Linked DNA regions of Saccharomyces cerevisiae S288C. The gene in region 1 interacts genetically with each later gene. Each region holds a gene or a part of one and is shown on either strand. Other genes may lie near its edges. The genes, in order: GPI12, PAU3, FAR8 and FRE2.

Region 1 (3,427 bases):
GTTTCCTAGTCACGTAGTAATTAAGCACCGAGGGTGCTATCCTAGTTCCAAAATACTCGTTTCAATCTTAGTGTCATTCTACTTTAATGACCACGATCTTCACAGAGGCCTAAGTATTTTGGATTCATTCATAAAGCACTATCCGGACGTGAAATTGGATGCGCTATTTTGGAGAAGGCTGTTTCAGCTAAGTCATTTTGCTTGGACACCAGCAAACGACAAGAAAGCCACTTCTGTTGTTAGATGTTGGCATTTAATGAAGCAGTGGTATGCATCTAAGCGGCTAAGGCCTTCAGTTGATTATGAGACGTTGAGACAACTGTACGATATCATGAAGAAAACAGGCAATTTCCCGCTTGGAATTGATGTTTTAAGGAGTTTCAAACCGGGGATCGAAAGAACGAGAGCAGAAAATGCTGGAAAAGTTAACAATATCATTATCAAATACCAAAAATGTATTATTAAGGAGCTTGTAAATAGAGGTAGATTTTCAGCGGTAAGGGAATTCATTGATAGTTATGGTTTTGATAGAAAAATGACCAAAGATTTGAATATTTTTTGTGCGAATCGTATGTTTCTAAGAAGTAAGAAAATGAAAAACAAGATTGAGAACAAAAAGGAAAGGGAGAAAGTGCGGCTAGATAGTTTCGATGACGATGAAGATGATGGTATGATTATAGGTAGCCTTTGGTAAGAAAAGTGTAAGTAGAATTAGCATTTATTTTTCTCCATATTCTTATTCTATAGGATGTAAATAATATGGGACTTTTTTATATATATATCTACAGTGTAGAGTCTAATATGTATAAACATCAAATTCATTAACGAAGACAAATCTGGAAAATATCCACCATCCGTATCTAAACCACACAACTTGGGATTCGTGAGCATTTAGCATAGTGGCAAACGCTAGTACGTATTGTGCATGTGTATTCATAAGTGAAAGCTTGTCTTTTTCGGCGGCTGTGTTAGGCGGAAGCGCCTGAATTATTCTACGGAATGGAGAAATCAGGTCGTAAAGTATTTTTAGGATTTCCCAAATAAAGGAGTTGTACTTTAAAACGATGTTGTTCTTGTAGCTTCTCAAATAAAGCGCAGTGACATGAGGTGGTTGTTCATTTCTTTTGGTCTTAGGTTGAGCATAATCATCCACCAACTTTTTAACGGCAGCATAACAGCTTTTGTGGTTGATATGATTTGATACACCATATGAATCAAAGGTAACGATAATCTGGTTCAAGTTATGATTCTTTATATCTATCTTTTGTGAAAGAGAAGAAGTTATAGAATCAATATCCCATATTTCGTCCATACCATCCTGGAAATCCATCACCTGTACGGAGACTGCTCTTTCATTGTGTAGCAATAAAGCGGCCGACTCATTTAATTCTCTTACCCTGGTTTCGCCAAGACCTTCGGCGTTGCCCTTTGATAAGCAGATTATGTTAAATGGGACGGTTCTCGGAAAGTACGAATTCAGTTGAGAAATTATGGGGGAAAAAAACATAACTTCGTCGTCAGGGTGCGCTATGACCAAATTGATTTCATAATCGCCATATTTATGAGGAAAAATATGCTGCAATGATGCATTGTTTCGGGAGACGATTTTGGGCGTAAAATAAATATATAGGATCGTCAGTACTATTGCTAGTTTAGTAATCTTGTAAAGCAATTTTGAAAAATTTACCTTTGTACGCCTCAACATCTTCATTTAACTTTTCTTCAGGGTTTGAAAGAATCTAATATACGGCTCTAGCGTCACCTATCTACACTTAACAATTCGATAAATAAGGAGGGCAATGCAAGATTATAAATAAAAGCGCAGCGTCGATTTTCCTTTTTCTATGACGTTAACGTAACTAGTAAACCTTCTAGAAGGGACGACTCCAATGAGATAGAAACGGCGAAGCGGGAATTTAGGAGTACTTGTTACCCGGCTACTAGTTTATTTCATACAAACACATTGACACATTCGCACATATACATCTACGAGAAATTACTGAATGTGAAAAGGATCAGAGGCAGTTAAAAGAGGTAACAACTTTTATCATCAGATTGTGATACGACTTATACTATTGAATGTGTATGATTACACAACTTTCCTTCTGCAGAACATTTTTACATCTGTTAAGATGGTGCAACATTTCTTTTTATTAGCACATTACTTTTGATGAAAGAGTATATTCAGTTATCGTAGCTCCTCTCACTTCTTTCTATCCGGTGTTTATTCGCGATATGAGTTGTGATATCAGAGACAGAGAGAGTTTATGTGCGTAACAGGAACGGAGAAAACCAGAGTAATTGAGTATTATAAGCAATAAATCATAAAAAGACATTCTTTCTCGTGCAATTTTTTGGTATTCGGGATAATCTTCTACTTGAAACTTCTTTTTTTCGGTGTTTAATTTGCCTATTGGTAAATATTTTTGCCGCCGAGGTTCTCAGTGATTATATTCGTATTAAGCGATAACCGAGACATGCATGGAGCGGCGGGGCTGATATTTTGTGGGGTACGAAAGCATGATTGGTCAGTGACACTCAAAAAAAGAAAACAGCCGTAAAATAGTAGATTTTGTTAAACTCCCCTTTAAACCTGTGATATTGTAAAAAGACGAAGAATTTAATAATTTAATAATTCATTACGGTATTTATTTCTTCATAAACAGTTACAACACCCTAAAGAGAATTTACAAGTTGAGTAAAAGACAAGACACAAAATTATGGCAAATAATAATTCTGATCGACAAGGTTTGGAACCCAGAGTCATTAGAACTCTGGGTTCACAAGCGCTTAGCGGTCCTAGCATATCTAATAGAACTTCAAGTTCGGAGGCAAACCCTCATTTTTCCAAGAACGTGAAGGAAGCAATGATCAAGACAGCTTCTCCGACTCCTTTATCTACACCTATTTACAGGATAGCTCAAGCTTGTGACAGGTGTCGATCTAAGAAAACAAGGTGCGATGGAAAAAGACCACAGTGTTCGCAGTGTGCTGCTGTCGGATTTGAATGCAGAATAAGCGATAAATTACTGAGGAAAGCGTATCCAAAAGGGTACACAGAAAGCCTGGAAGAAAGAGTACGCGAACTGGAGGCAGAGAATAAGCGTTTGCTAGCTTTGTGTGATATCAAAGAACAGCAAATAAGCCTTGTTTCACAGTCGCGACCACAGACATCAACGGATAATACCATAAATGGCAATTTCAAACATGATTTGAAAGATGCTCCATTGAATCTGTCTTCTACAAATATCTATTTATTAAATCAAACGGTTAATAAGCAGCTACAAAATGGCAAAATGGATGGTGATAATAGCGGTTCTGCAATGAGTCCATTGGGGGCACCACCTCCACCGCCACACAAAGACCATCTTTGTGACGGCGTTTCCTGTACAAATCATTTACACGTCAAGCCTACTTCTACGAGTTT
Region 2 (3,130 bases), on another chromosome or scaffold:
CTCCACCCCTGAGAAAATTGCAACAAATAACACCGCCTTATCCTACAAATCTTTAGTTATTACCTCCTTAACACTATCCTTACTTTAACACTTACTCCATTTTCTGACTAATAAAAACATATACACACATAAGTAGGCACAGAAATGCAAATATTCGTATAACAGGAGACGAAAATTCAATATGGTTACTCTGACTTGTCGCTCGCATAGTCCCTGATCTACAGCATTAATCCAAAAAGAGACATGTGTGTAAACAACTCCGGGCCAACACACTGAAAAATAAAGAAATCAATTTATTTTCGTGGGAGAAATAAAAGCAACAGAGCCAAACGTATCAAACTTCAGCACTACTCATTAAGAATATATGCAATAATACTGGATAGCACTTTCAACTGCTTCCCCAGAAGGATAGCCTAGAAGAAAGTTTCTTTTCCGTTGTTGATGCACCTAAATAATGTCGTCTTGATCAAATATAGGCTTATAGTATTGATATATGTTTATATAGTCAACTGTATTTATATCAAAAAAAAAAAAAGATTTTTTTTTTATTCTTTCGTTATTTTTCAATGTCTATGGAAGTTCATTAGTAAAGGCATGTCTCTATTTTGGAATAGCAGTGTAGATACCGTCCTTAGATAGAGCACTGGAGATGGCTGGTCTCAATCTAGTGGAGTACCATGGGACACCAGTGATGACTCTGGTGACTTGTTCAGCTGGAATACCAGTCAACATAGTGGTGAAGTCACCATAGTTGAAAACAGCTTCAGCAATCTCAACTGGGTAGGTCTCAGTTGGATGAGCTGCTTGAAACAAGTAGTATTGAGCCAAATGAGCTCTGATATCGGAGACGTAAACACCCAATTCGACCAAGTTGACCCTTTCGTCAGATGGAGATAGAGTGGTAGTGGCTGGGGCAGCGGCAATACCGGCAGCGATGGCGGCAACACCAGCAGCGATTGAAGTTAATTTGACCATTGTATTTGTTTTGTTTGTTAGTGCTGATGTAATCTTAACAAGAAATAGTGAAATGAAAGCGCATACCTCAAAGGCATATAGTTGAAGCAGCTCTATTTATACCCGTTCCTCCATCTGTCATCACTACTTAAACGATTCGTTAACAGACGCTCATTTAGCACCTCACATATCCTCCATATCTCATCTTTCACACAATCTCATTATCTCTATGGAGATGCTCTTGTTTCTGAACGAATCATACATCTTTCATAGGTTTCGTATGTGGAGTATTGTTTTATGGCACTCATGTGTATTCGTATGCGCAGAATGTGGGAATGCCAATTATAGGGGTGCCGGGGTGCCTTGAAAAACCCTTTTACGCGCGCCTGTGAAGTTTCCGCTTTCGGTCAAAAAGAATATCCGAATTTTAGATTTGGACCCTCGTTCAGAAGCTTATTGTCTAAGCCTAAATTCAGTCTGCTTTAAACGGCTTCCGCGGAAGAAATATTTCCATCTCTTGAATTCGTACAACATTAAACGTGTGTTGGGAGTCGTATACTGTTAGGGTCTGCAAATATGTAAACTCTCGGCGAATGCCTTGGTGCAATTACGTAATTGTAGCCGCTGAAGGCGGATGGTATTGAGAGAAGTTGATGTTCAAAGTATCGTGTATGATAAAAATAGAATTGTAACCAGTTCGTAGTAGCAGTATTAAAACTTTGATTCCGAGATGTAATCCCTCTTTTCTAGCCAGATATGAAGGAAAAAAGTGTAAGGGTAGTTGAGAGCGCTACTTTATTTTATTCTATTTTAAAAATGTTCTCTAGGAGAGGTGTATTAATAGTTGGTACTCCATGTAGCTTCTAAGTCAAAAGAAATGTCTCTATCTTTATGGTAACGGTTCATCGTTAGAGCTCAATTGTGCTTCTTGGATGTATTTCCAAAGTCCCACGTTTAATAACCCACACAACATAAATGTCCTTGAATATAAAAAATTTCGAAAGCTCCCCGTAAAGAATGCTTGATAATCAGCTCCATCAAAGAAATACTTTTTGTTCTTCCAAACTTTTCCTCTCAGCAAATACATATTTATTTCCTTTGCAACCACTTTCTAGAGAATTCATAATAGTTGATAAAAAAGGCATTTTGTCTTCTATGTTCATAATTTCAATTCTTGAATTTTGGAAATCGTGAAATGTTTCGAGAAACCGCCTTCAATAATTAGAAAACAAAATAAAAGATTACAGTTAGGCCACTCAAAAATACAATTCAGATAAGAAAGGTGCGATAGTGGGGAATAAGAATTGGAAATCCGCTTGATAATCAGGGAAAACTTAAAGAACGGGGTGTTAAAAGTCTGTGAAGTATAGATCAAACTCGCACTAGCTAGCAATACTCATGAGAACCTAGGTGAGTGTAAAGCAGTGAACCTTCTTTAGAAAGCAGAGAAAAATCCTCCAAGTTAACAGTCTTCCATACTTACTCAGTATGGATCAAGTTCCACAGTTTGTCCACTTCTGTAGAATAAACTTGTAGTGCTTTTCCGATGAAAAGGGATAGAGTCTTTAAAAGACTTGATCTTGGCATTTTTATCCTCCTTCAAGCAGAATGGCTCCAGTAGAGTTGTTCTGAACGCTTCTGGGCAGTGAGCAGCATTGAAGAAAAAGTACTCAGCATTCCAAGCTTTGTCTTCATATAATTATAAATTAAAACTCATAGCCACCAATTTCCAGGTTTTGGTCGCAATATGCTGCAGAATCAATGGCTTGTTTCGTTACTATACTGGTCCGACGGAGTTTACTTTACTCTAAATTTGCTGAAATAGCAAGGCCACACGCCATACAATTAACAATAGTTCATTCAGTTGAAAGGTTTCCGAGATAGAAAGTGCGGTAGTAGAGAAGAACAATAAACGTATCAAACTTTGCGCAGTCATGGAATTTCCAGGAAACATTTTTAGGTTTTCATATGACAGCAGTTCCTGTCCGAGAGCTGTGCCTTTCTTGTCTCAGCTGACTAAGATGTCTCGGATCCGCCCGGCTGGCGCGCGGCTCCGTCTAGTGGGATAGGCTTTCAACACATAGGAAACCCTTCAGATGATGAGAACACATCGAATCCCAGAGAGTAATATCACCAAGAATAAAGCAACCATGATAGACAATATTACTAAGTGTTC
Region 3 (4,370 bases), 500 kb from region 1:
ATTGTACGCGCAACCAAAAAATAACAAAGATTTATCTGGAGCACAGTTGAAGAGAAAAGAAAAGATTGAGCTATTCCAGCGCAATAAAGAAATTAGCACAAAACTGCACTGCTTGGAGTTGGAATTAAAAAACAACGACGAGGACCACGACCATGATGAATTACTAAGAGAACTATATTTGATGAGGTTACATCACTTTAGTCTTGATACGATTAACAACATTGAACAGAATTTATTTGAATGTGAAATGCTCTCTAATTTCCTCAAAAATTCCGTACATGAAGTCAAATCATCAGGTACTCAGATACGAAAAGAATCGAATGATGATGATTCCACTGGTTTTACCGATAAATTAGAGAATATAAATAAGCCATTGATAGACAAAAAAGGTCAAGTCTTGAGGAACTTCACGCTTGTCGACAAAAGGCAACAACTGCAACAAAAAGTGCGAGGATATGGTCAATATGGACCAACAATGTCGGTGGAGGAATTTTTAGATAAAGAGTTTGAAGAAGGTCGCGTTCTTCAAGGTGGCGAAGAACCAGAGCAAGCACCAGATGAAGAAAACATGGACTGGCAAGATAGAGAAACCTATAAAGCTCGTGAGTGGGACGAGTTCAAGGAAAGTCATGCTAAGGGAAGCGGAAATACCATGAATAGAGGATAGAAAAAAATACCTATATACGTACACATAAGTATCTATTAGACAGATTCATATATTATTTTTTTTTCTGCCTACATCAGTTATATTTTAATCTTGTGCAAAAGGACTTCGTTATTTTTATTCACGGTGATTAACACCGGCGTAGAATCTACAATCAGATTTGAAGAAAATACCACAGGCTCTTTTCTTTCCGAGAAGTTGATGTCTGCTACGACAAATTCGTCGATGGATGGTTTTAGGTTTTCTAAATTCCTAAACTCAAAGTCTCCATTACTATATGATACGGTGATTATGCTGTCGTTCAAATCGAGTTGTATTGGTAGTGTTGACGATGGAGTCAATTGTTCCTTCAGTACAACTTTTTTCTTATCAAAAGAATAAACCAATAATCTCTCATTGCTTAGCTGAATCAGTAGCTTAGAAGTTTTTCTATCCAAAAATAAATGGTAACCTTCTTCTTCTGGCTTACCCGATAATATTGTATCAATCTTCAAATCAATTTTTTGTAGAAGCTTACCCTCGAAATCATATATGGTAAGCTGGTATGGATTTGAAGACAGTAATATTAAGGATTTTTCTGTTATACCCAATATACAATCCAGAATGTTTGTGGAATCATTACTATCATCGTCATCATTATCATGTGTTATTTCATATGTTTCTTTTATGTTAATTGGGACATCCTCAGGAGCCTCTATATTGTCCAATTCCCAGATTCTAATTTGAGATTTATTCTTACTAGCTATCAACAACCATTTATTTTTGAAGTCTATATTAATGATATCACTAGACGAAAACGGCTGTTCTGAGTCTTGTAATAGGTCCACATCTGAGATCAAAGATGCGCTAGAAATAGAGAACAATTTCAAATGGAAACTCTTTTCAATAACAAGGAGTTTGGACGTCGAAACCCAGAAAAATTTCATAATGTCGCTATCTTGCCCTAAAGATATTTTCTTTAAGAGTTTGGAATTCAAGTTTGCGTCCACTTGGTGTATTTCTAACGATTTGGTGTCTGCATCATAAAGTGCCATACAGTCCCCGTAGGAGCTGATAATGTCGACTTTCGACAATTCCGAGTGTATCTTGGATATTGTTTCATTATTTTCACGCTTGTTGGCTGTGCTAAACAAAGATTTCACTTTGGTTGGTGATGGTGACTCTGAAGGACCTTGCTTTGGATTGGGTTTGGTGTCCAAGAGGGCATTATTTAAAATATCCATCCCATTTGTCTTCGCACTGCCCTCTTCCTTGGGAGTATTCACGTTCAGTTTCTCTAAATCGTGCAATTCAGAACCCGCTTCTCTGCTATTTAATGACTCTAACTGATTGACCGTGTTAGGGCCTTTCAACAAATAAATTATTTCCTTCACATTTTCTTGAACAGCTAGCTTAGACTGCAGTAATGAATCAGGCACATGTTTTTCTTCCTTTTCACCTTCAGGAGAAACAGCTTTCGATTGTATTTGATTCAATTGATGCTTCAAATCTCTATTTTCGCCCTCTAGTTCTGCAATTCTTGCTTTCATTTCCGACCTTTCTAGCTCCCAGGTGATTCTATCTCTTTCATTCTTCGTGAACTCCGTTTGCAAGTAGTGCATTACACCAGGTAACGTGTAATGCGGATGAACATGTGCCTGGTTAATAGCCATATTGTTTTCCGGTCTAACTACACGCACTTACTTCTTTTGGGTTTCTTTATTAATGTTGTTGCTTGCTCCTCACATTTAGTCGTTCTAGGTGGCTTTTATCTAAGATTACGCGACGGGGAAGATCGCAAAGTTAAGACCAATAGAGTACTATACCATATCCCAACAAAGAAGCCTAGGGGATGGTGCAGCAGTAAAAACTGAATAGACTATAATAGATCATCCTACGTAAAACCCGAATAGGTTATCTCTTAAACCTTGTTTTCCTGTAAAGTTGTCCCGCGCATGTGAAGACGCAGAGAGTGGAGATCAATCTTAAAACAACTGAAGCAACTAGCACTTTCTTGACATTTAATAAGGAACTATTATCGCGTAAACCAAAAGAAACGCATGTAAAACATCTGCAAGTTACTCCATCATCTGACACCTAGAGACGTACGTATCAGAACGATTTGAGTGGAGGGGTACAAAAAGGGACTCTGTAGATCAAAAACTGTAATATTATCCTTTTTTTTACTTTCTGAGAAGCTATTCGAAAACAAGGAGATAGAACTACAAGCAGTTATGAAGGACCTAAATCCAGAAATGGGGAAATTTGCTACCACTAAAGGCCCTCCTCAAGACAATAGAGGCATGGTTGATATAGCGACACTGCCTAATTTTCCTGCCAACCGTAGTGGGACTCCTCGTGAGGAGATGTATCTGGCGCCCAACAAGATGGAAACTCCAAGGATACTTAATATGAATATGGTACCGGATTATTTGCAAAAAGAGAACTTCTCGCCAGATTTTTCTTCTGCTACCGTATCTGCCAAGTCATCTCCTGTCAACGTTACTCATGATGAGTCGCTTCCTCTGGGAACTATTGAATCGAATAGCACAAAGGATTCTAAATATGCAGTTCAACGGCAACAGCAACAAGTGGTAGATTTCATAGAGAATAATATGCAGCTACTGTCTTCAGAAACACTAAATTTTAGATCAGACATTATGAAAACTTTGGAGCTTCCCATTCCCAAGAGAAGAGATATTAAGGGAAACCATCTATCTAAACTATTATTTGCTAAATCACCTCTAACTATCAACACATATTGCCAATTTTATGACCGTAGAACCAAGCGAATTTGCAATCAAGAAATGATATGGAAAGATAAGAACAGTAGAGAGAAGCATGGTTCTAGAAAGTATCAAAGACATTTGAGTAAAGTTCACGATGTCCAGCTAACACCAAATAATTTTACCGAATTTTTTGATCATAATTCTCCACTTTTCCAGGAATGCTATGACTATCAATCTAGATTGATGCGTGATTTACTTGTTGAACCAGATGCCAAATTCAAAGAGAAGAAAAAGAAGAAAAAAGGGGACGTCAACGGAAATCATCCTGAAACCGGATCGAGCCTCATCAACCACCAGGTCCAACAGCAAAATGTTCGAGAACTTCAATCGAAAATAGCCATGAACGACTTGATAGAGATTCTTATCGATTTAAACATTCCGTTTTCTGTTTTAGACTACCAACCAATGAGAAATTGGCTCATCAAATATTCAATAATTTCAACAGATACTTTGCCGGATGAAGTATACTTCAAAACTGATCCAGGCGTGAATGAACTGGAACACAACAGTAGTAATTTAAACAATAGCAATAGCGGTACTCCTCATAATCATAATCAAAACCAACATACCAATTAATTAAAACTTGCTTTTAATCTGCATACATAAAACTTAGATCAAATAAATAAAAAAAAAAGTAAAACAACCATATATACTATTTCATAAGCAAAAGTAATCAAATTAAACAAAAAAAAGAAAATACAAATATTAAATTTAAATTAAGGCAATAAACATATATTATACACATAAAAAGAATAATTAAAGCGCAGATGAGAACTATCTTAATTATCAAAATTCTGTAGTATCCCACTCAACTGTTCAATATCTTAGCCGCACCATTTCTTCGTTATCTAGGCTCACTAGCAATTATTTTTTCTCTTGATTACTAATTGCATCCTGATCGTCTTCGATCGAAGAACCCTGTGAAAAGCCACTAAATG
Region 4 (4,617 bases), on another chromosome or scaffold:
TCTATCTTTAAGTATCCTATATGCATGAGTTATGTCGATTATATCGAAGACTCGGTGTGTGATATTACTCCACAGTACAAAAACAGGAATACAGAGAAAATTGAAAAGATATATGAACGGATGGTATGGTAAATAAAATAACAGCCATTATAAAGCTTGTGGTAAATTTTCCAGGACGGAAGTTAGCTTATGCAGTTTTGTTTATCTTCCTTGCATCTGTGTATAATACTGAAACACGCAATTAACGTTTCATAAAATTTGCCTGAGGGCCGTATAAAAATTCAGTGACCATTGTTCACACTTTAAATATAGCCAAATTGCCAAGAAAGGGTTTCATTGCAGGTTTATCGAAATATTAACTCTTTAAATACAGGGACTATACAGAGCTAACTTCTTAAGAAAAAAAACCATGCGACACACTACGACTTTCACAAATTCCATAAAAGAGATATTTAAGATTTAGATAAAATATCAAAGGACTGCTGTACTCTGCTTCAATTACCTCCTTACCATAAAGTTATAGGCAGCTTTCTCCATCGACATACTAAAATTTGGATAGGTATTATTAATGAAATGACTAGTTTTAAGTAAAAAATGATCACCAGCATTGATACTCTTCAAAGTACTCAATGGCTTTTGCAGACTTATCTAAAACTATTTTTGCGGTTTCATTCCTCACTTTGTCAACAAAAATAGGAGGTCCACAGCAAACCACAGATAATGAGCCACTCAATTCAGCCGCTTCATGTAGAAGTTCCTTAACATTTGGTCGCCCGCAATGGAAAACAACACCATCAAAACCAAGTGGATTGGCAGACTTTTCTAAAGTAGTTGCCACAACAGTGCCTTTTTCATCAGCCTTCTCATCCTGTTGAGAAATATCTAAACTATCACTAGGGGTTAATGATGGGACTTCCATTGTGTTGTAGATGTGAAGCTGTACATTCAGATTTTCTAAACACATCAACTCCGGCTTATAAGCCTCGAGTACGTCGAATCCTCTAACTGCAATCACTAATTTTACAGATTGTTTTCCAGCAGCCGCTGACGTCTTTCCAAGTTTAATTGCATGTGCAATAGGTCCAGGCAAACCGGTACCTCCAGTGAGTAACAATACATTATTGTAATTATTGACCGGAGATGAAGAACCATATGGACCTTCTATAGCTAGTCTCATAGATGTCTTACCTCCATTGCGACACACATACTTTTTGACAAGTCTTGTTACTCCCTTTTTTTCTTTCAGGATAATAACCAGTTCACCATTCTTGCTTACTGAATCCAAAACAGTAAATGGATGTGACTGCCAGAAGTACAGTGGATGTAAAAACGAAACGAAAACATATTGCCCAGGTTTGGCCCTCCATGGCCTTGCCGGTTTTTTAACTGTTAAACGAATGAGATCATCCCCGATTAGTTGTAGGGAAGCTTTGGGGAAACCAAAATAAGAAGCTTTGATAATTCTAATAATCCGGTCAACGATCCAAATCGCAATAGCAGTGTATATCCACTCAATGCCACTTAAACTAACAACATGCTCCCAACATGCATAAAAGAACATTGCACCAAGGACGATATGAAGAAAAAGAAAGGCTTCATAAAAATACTTCCTGAATACTGCAAAGGAAAAGAAAACCATTGTGCCAGCTAAACAAAGTGCTGCCACCCCGAATTGCCAATATAATCGGTTTTTACTTGTTGCCCAAGTTTTATTCGCTACCGTATAACTAGTATATGCAGAGCCATGAATCATAGCATCCAAAAACATCATTCTTCCCAACCATTTGTGAAACATAATGAAGGAAGTATATTTAACCCCAGAAATATACTCGAGAAAGTTGTTTCTTCCCGCGAAAAGAACTATTAATGGAAAGTGTGCGAATGCGAGTACACCACTTCTGTCTGCCACATATCGAGCAACTTGAACTCTACGAGACTTGAATATTATATTTTCAGGATCGTATTCATAACCGTATGCCAAAAAAACGGTATGAAGCACGAGATATCCAAGAATAATGATACCCTCTAATCTTGTAGGTAAATATCCTGTGAATATTCTAAAATAAGAGAAATCTGACGCATGTTTGCTTCCAATGGTAGGTAGAGTGAGGTATCCCCTTACATATCCCACAAGCTTTTGCTTCAATAGAACAGTTTTAAAGGGAGTGTAATTCATGCAATGAAGAACGCCTGCAAAAGCCATGATAGCGACAAAATAAGCACATATAATGCCACCATATATGTTTCCGACATCTAAGTTAGCATAGAAACCATGCAATGCATGATAGTAGGCTTTTCTTAACTGTGTATCCATTTCAACTGGATATGTTAGGTTTGCACTGCCTTTGACATAGGGCGTCATATGCCTCGTTCCGTTGTTTAGAACGTCATAAAACTCAGAATTAGTCATGTTCTGAAGAGCATCACTATAACTTGCACAGTTTTTTTTGATGGTACTAAATGTTTTTTCTAAGGTTTTATTCGAATAACCTTTTTCATCCAACGTTTCATAGATACAATACAGCATTGATTGAAACGCTGGTTCGTAAGAACATACTGGTGATGAACGCTTAGACTTGCTGGTATACTCCCAAGTAACTTTTTGAAAAATCCTCGTGCAGGCATTAGTGACAAGCAAGGGCACCTTGTTACGAATAACTGTCTTTGCAGGTGATGCTCTTGCTCCTGACAGGCAGAAAAGCAAAATAGCGCTCAAGATGGACGTCCAATGCATTATATTCGTTGGGTTTCATAAGCTTTGGATAAAAAAGACTTTATTACAACTGTAGCAAAAAATCATGTTCATTTTTTGCGACTTATATATTTAGTGGCAAATTAATGATACCTTGCAATAACCGAATTTAGAGTATGTTGTCCAAGAAAGGAGGGATTTTGTTCATCAGAAAAGAATTCAGAAAAGCAAGGAAACAGTACTATCGTTTAGAATGTAGAATGATAGGTTGCTTGCTAATTCTATTATGGCACGAATGATACACCCATATTTTCAACAAAATCAATACCCACTAGCATCATTGAGCCAACTATTTGTCAATGCAACCATTACCGGTACTTCATCCTGATTTAACGAGTCTACTTTTTTATCACGTCAAAATTTACTTGTTTTCCTGTAAACCCGAAATAAAGGCAAAAAAGACCTGGGTGCAATTACGAATAAATGTACAATAATCATCCTGTTTGCATAGTAAACTTCCAGTTAGAGTCACACAACGCAATGAATTTTGACAGTTTTCTGTGCGATATTCTTTGGTAAACGTAAAGAACAGGCAACTTTTGGTACAATGGATTCTAGCCCATATGGTTCATTTCTGGTGCATTCGCAAAGTCAGTATTTGTCTAGCTGTGTTTTCTGGCTGAGAGACATTATGATGTTATTCATTGTTATGGATATCTCTGTAGCTCATGCTGCTTATTTCTCCCTAAAAAAGTTTTTTCTCTCGAATACATTCTTGACCATTTCATAGTGAAATTCTTGTACTTATTTAAAACCAAAAATGGAAGTATTCATACATCCCCCTATCAAAAACACTCAATAAGTTTCGAATTATTCGTTCGTCTAAACAGTGTCCAATACTCAAAGGGGTATTCAAGACGGCACAAAATCAGCATCTTCCCTTATCCGTGTTCCAGAAATACCACGCTAAGGTTTTTCCTCCTACAATCCATAAAATCATTAAGGAGGCAGCTTGAAAAATCTTGAAATTCAAAAGAGTTATCTTGGGCTAATCGAAATTAACGATAACCAGAGTAGAATATTCAAGATCACAGCTCCACCTTAGTTTCGAGGTTGCTCTCAATGGTCTAGCTTAGTCATGCTTTTTGTTAAACAAATCTTGCCTTTTCTGATATTCTATAGTGTGGTCCAATCCAGATATTGGCGCATCCTAAACCAATTATAGTTCACTTATGAAGGGCAAATGAACACTCTTACCAGTTTCACAAATAATTAGTACTAGCTAGGCGGTCAAACTGACTAGCTTATTATAATATTATCGATGTAACATTTTTCCATAGTGAGGGAGGAAAATAAACCTTAAAAAAATATGCAAGGATTCTAGATTTCAGGCTAGTCTTCAACCACTTTGCACTTCCGGATTAAAGGCTTTTATAGAAAACATCTTGGTTTGGGACTATATTGCTAGGTGAAAATTTCAAAATTGTACAAAAGATCATTCTTGTTTTTTTGCCTCATTAGCTGATACAATGCGGAACTACATGGCGCTCTTTTATAAGCATCTACTATGGTACATTCTAAGTATGTGGATCTTGGTTAACACATAGACATTTTTTAACTTCTTGATATCGGTTCCGCTAAATTTGCTGATTATATTTGTTCACTAGGCCAGATCATAATGCCTGTAATATTGAGTACTTAATATCGATACTTGATATCCGAACAGTAAACGTTTGTCCGTAGTCATCGTGACTGTTGACGTATTAACTGCAAGAAATGATGGAAAAAATTTAGGTATATTTGCAGATGAAAACTCTAGAACACTGCCGTTGAAGAAAGAATGGCTTCAGCCGTCATGCTGTCTATCTGTTTGTAAACTTTTGGAAGTTTTACATATTTTGCACTATTTTCTTTAGCACGAGGTA

The links.
Region 2: mutations in GPI12 (region 1) and PAU3 together harm fitness more than expected from each alone (negative genetic interaction), as found in Saccharomyces cerevisiae (one large-scale study listed by BioGRID).
Region 3: mutations in GPI12 (region 1) and FAR8 together harm fitness more than expected from each alone (negative genetic interaction), as found in Saccharomyces cerevisiae (one large-scale study listed by BioGRID).
Region 4: mutations in GPI12 (region 1) and FRE2 together harm fitness more than expected from each alone (negative genetic interaction), as found in Saccharomyces cerevisiae (one large-scale study listed by BioGRID).

Annotation. Positions count from the first base shown.
Region 1 is NC_001145.3:830,623-834,049, reverse strand, and holds GPI12 (N-acetylglucosaminylphosphatidylinositol deacetylase), read right to left. Parts: upstream 1,712-3,427; coding exon 797-1,711; downstream 1-796. Other genes in the region: AEP2 (Aep2p), read left to right, coding at 1-694; DNA-binding transcription factor CAT8, read left to right, coding at 2,721-3,427. UniProt on the Saccharomyces cerevisiae protein: Involved in the second step of GPI biosynthesis. De-N-acetylation of N-acetylglucosaminyl-phosphatidylinositol.
Region 2 is NC_001135.5:305,646-308,775, reverse strand, and holds PAU3 (seripauperin PAU3), read right to left. Parts: upstream 976-3,130; coding exon 601-975; downstream 1-600.
Region 3 is NC_001145.3:327,916-332,285, forward strand, and holds FAR8 (Far8p), read right to left. Parts: upstream 2,317-4,370; coding exon 745-2,316; downstream 1-744. Other genes in the region: TAP42 (Tap42p), read left to right, coding at 1-667; RSF1 (Rsf1p), read left to right, coding at 2,878-4,008; EIS1 (Eis1p), read right to left, coding at 4,297-4,370. UniProt on the Saccharomyces cerevisiae protein: Participates in the control of the reentry into the cell cycle following pheromone treatment.
Region 4 is NC_001143.9:8,493-13,109, forward strand, and holds FRE2 (ferric/cupric-chelate reductase), read right to left. Parts: upstream 2,735-4,617; coding exon 599-2,734; downstream 1-598. UniProt on the Saccharomyces cerevisiae protein: Metalloreductase responsible for reducing extracellular iron and copper prior to import. Catalyzes the reductive uptake of Fe(3+)-salts and Fe(3+) bound to catecholate or hydroxamate siderophores.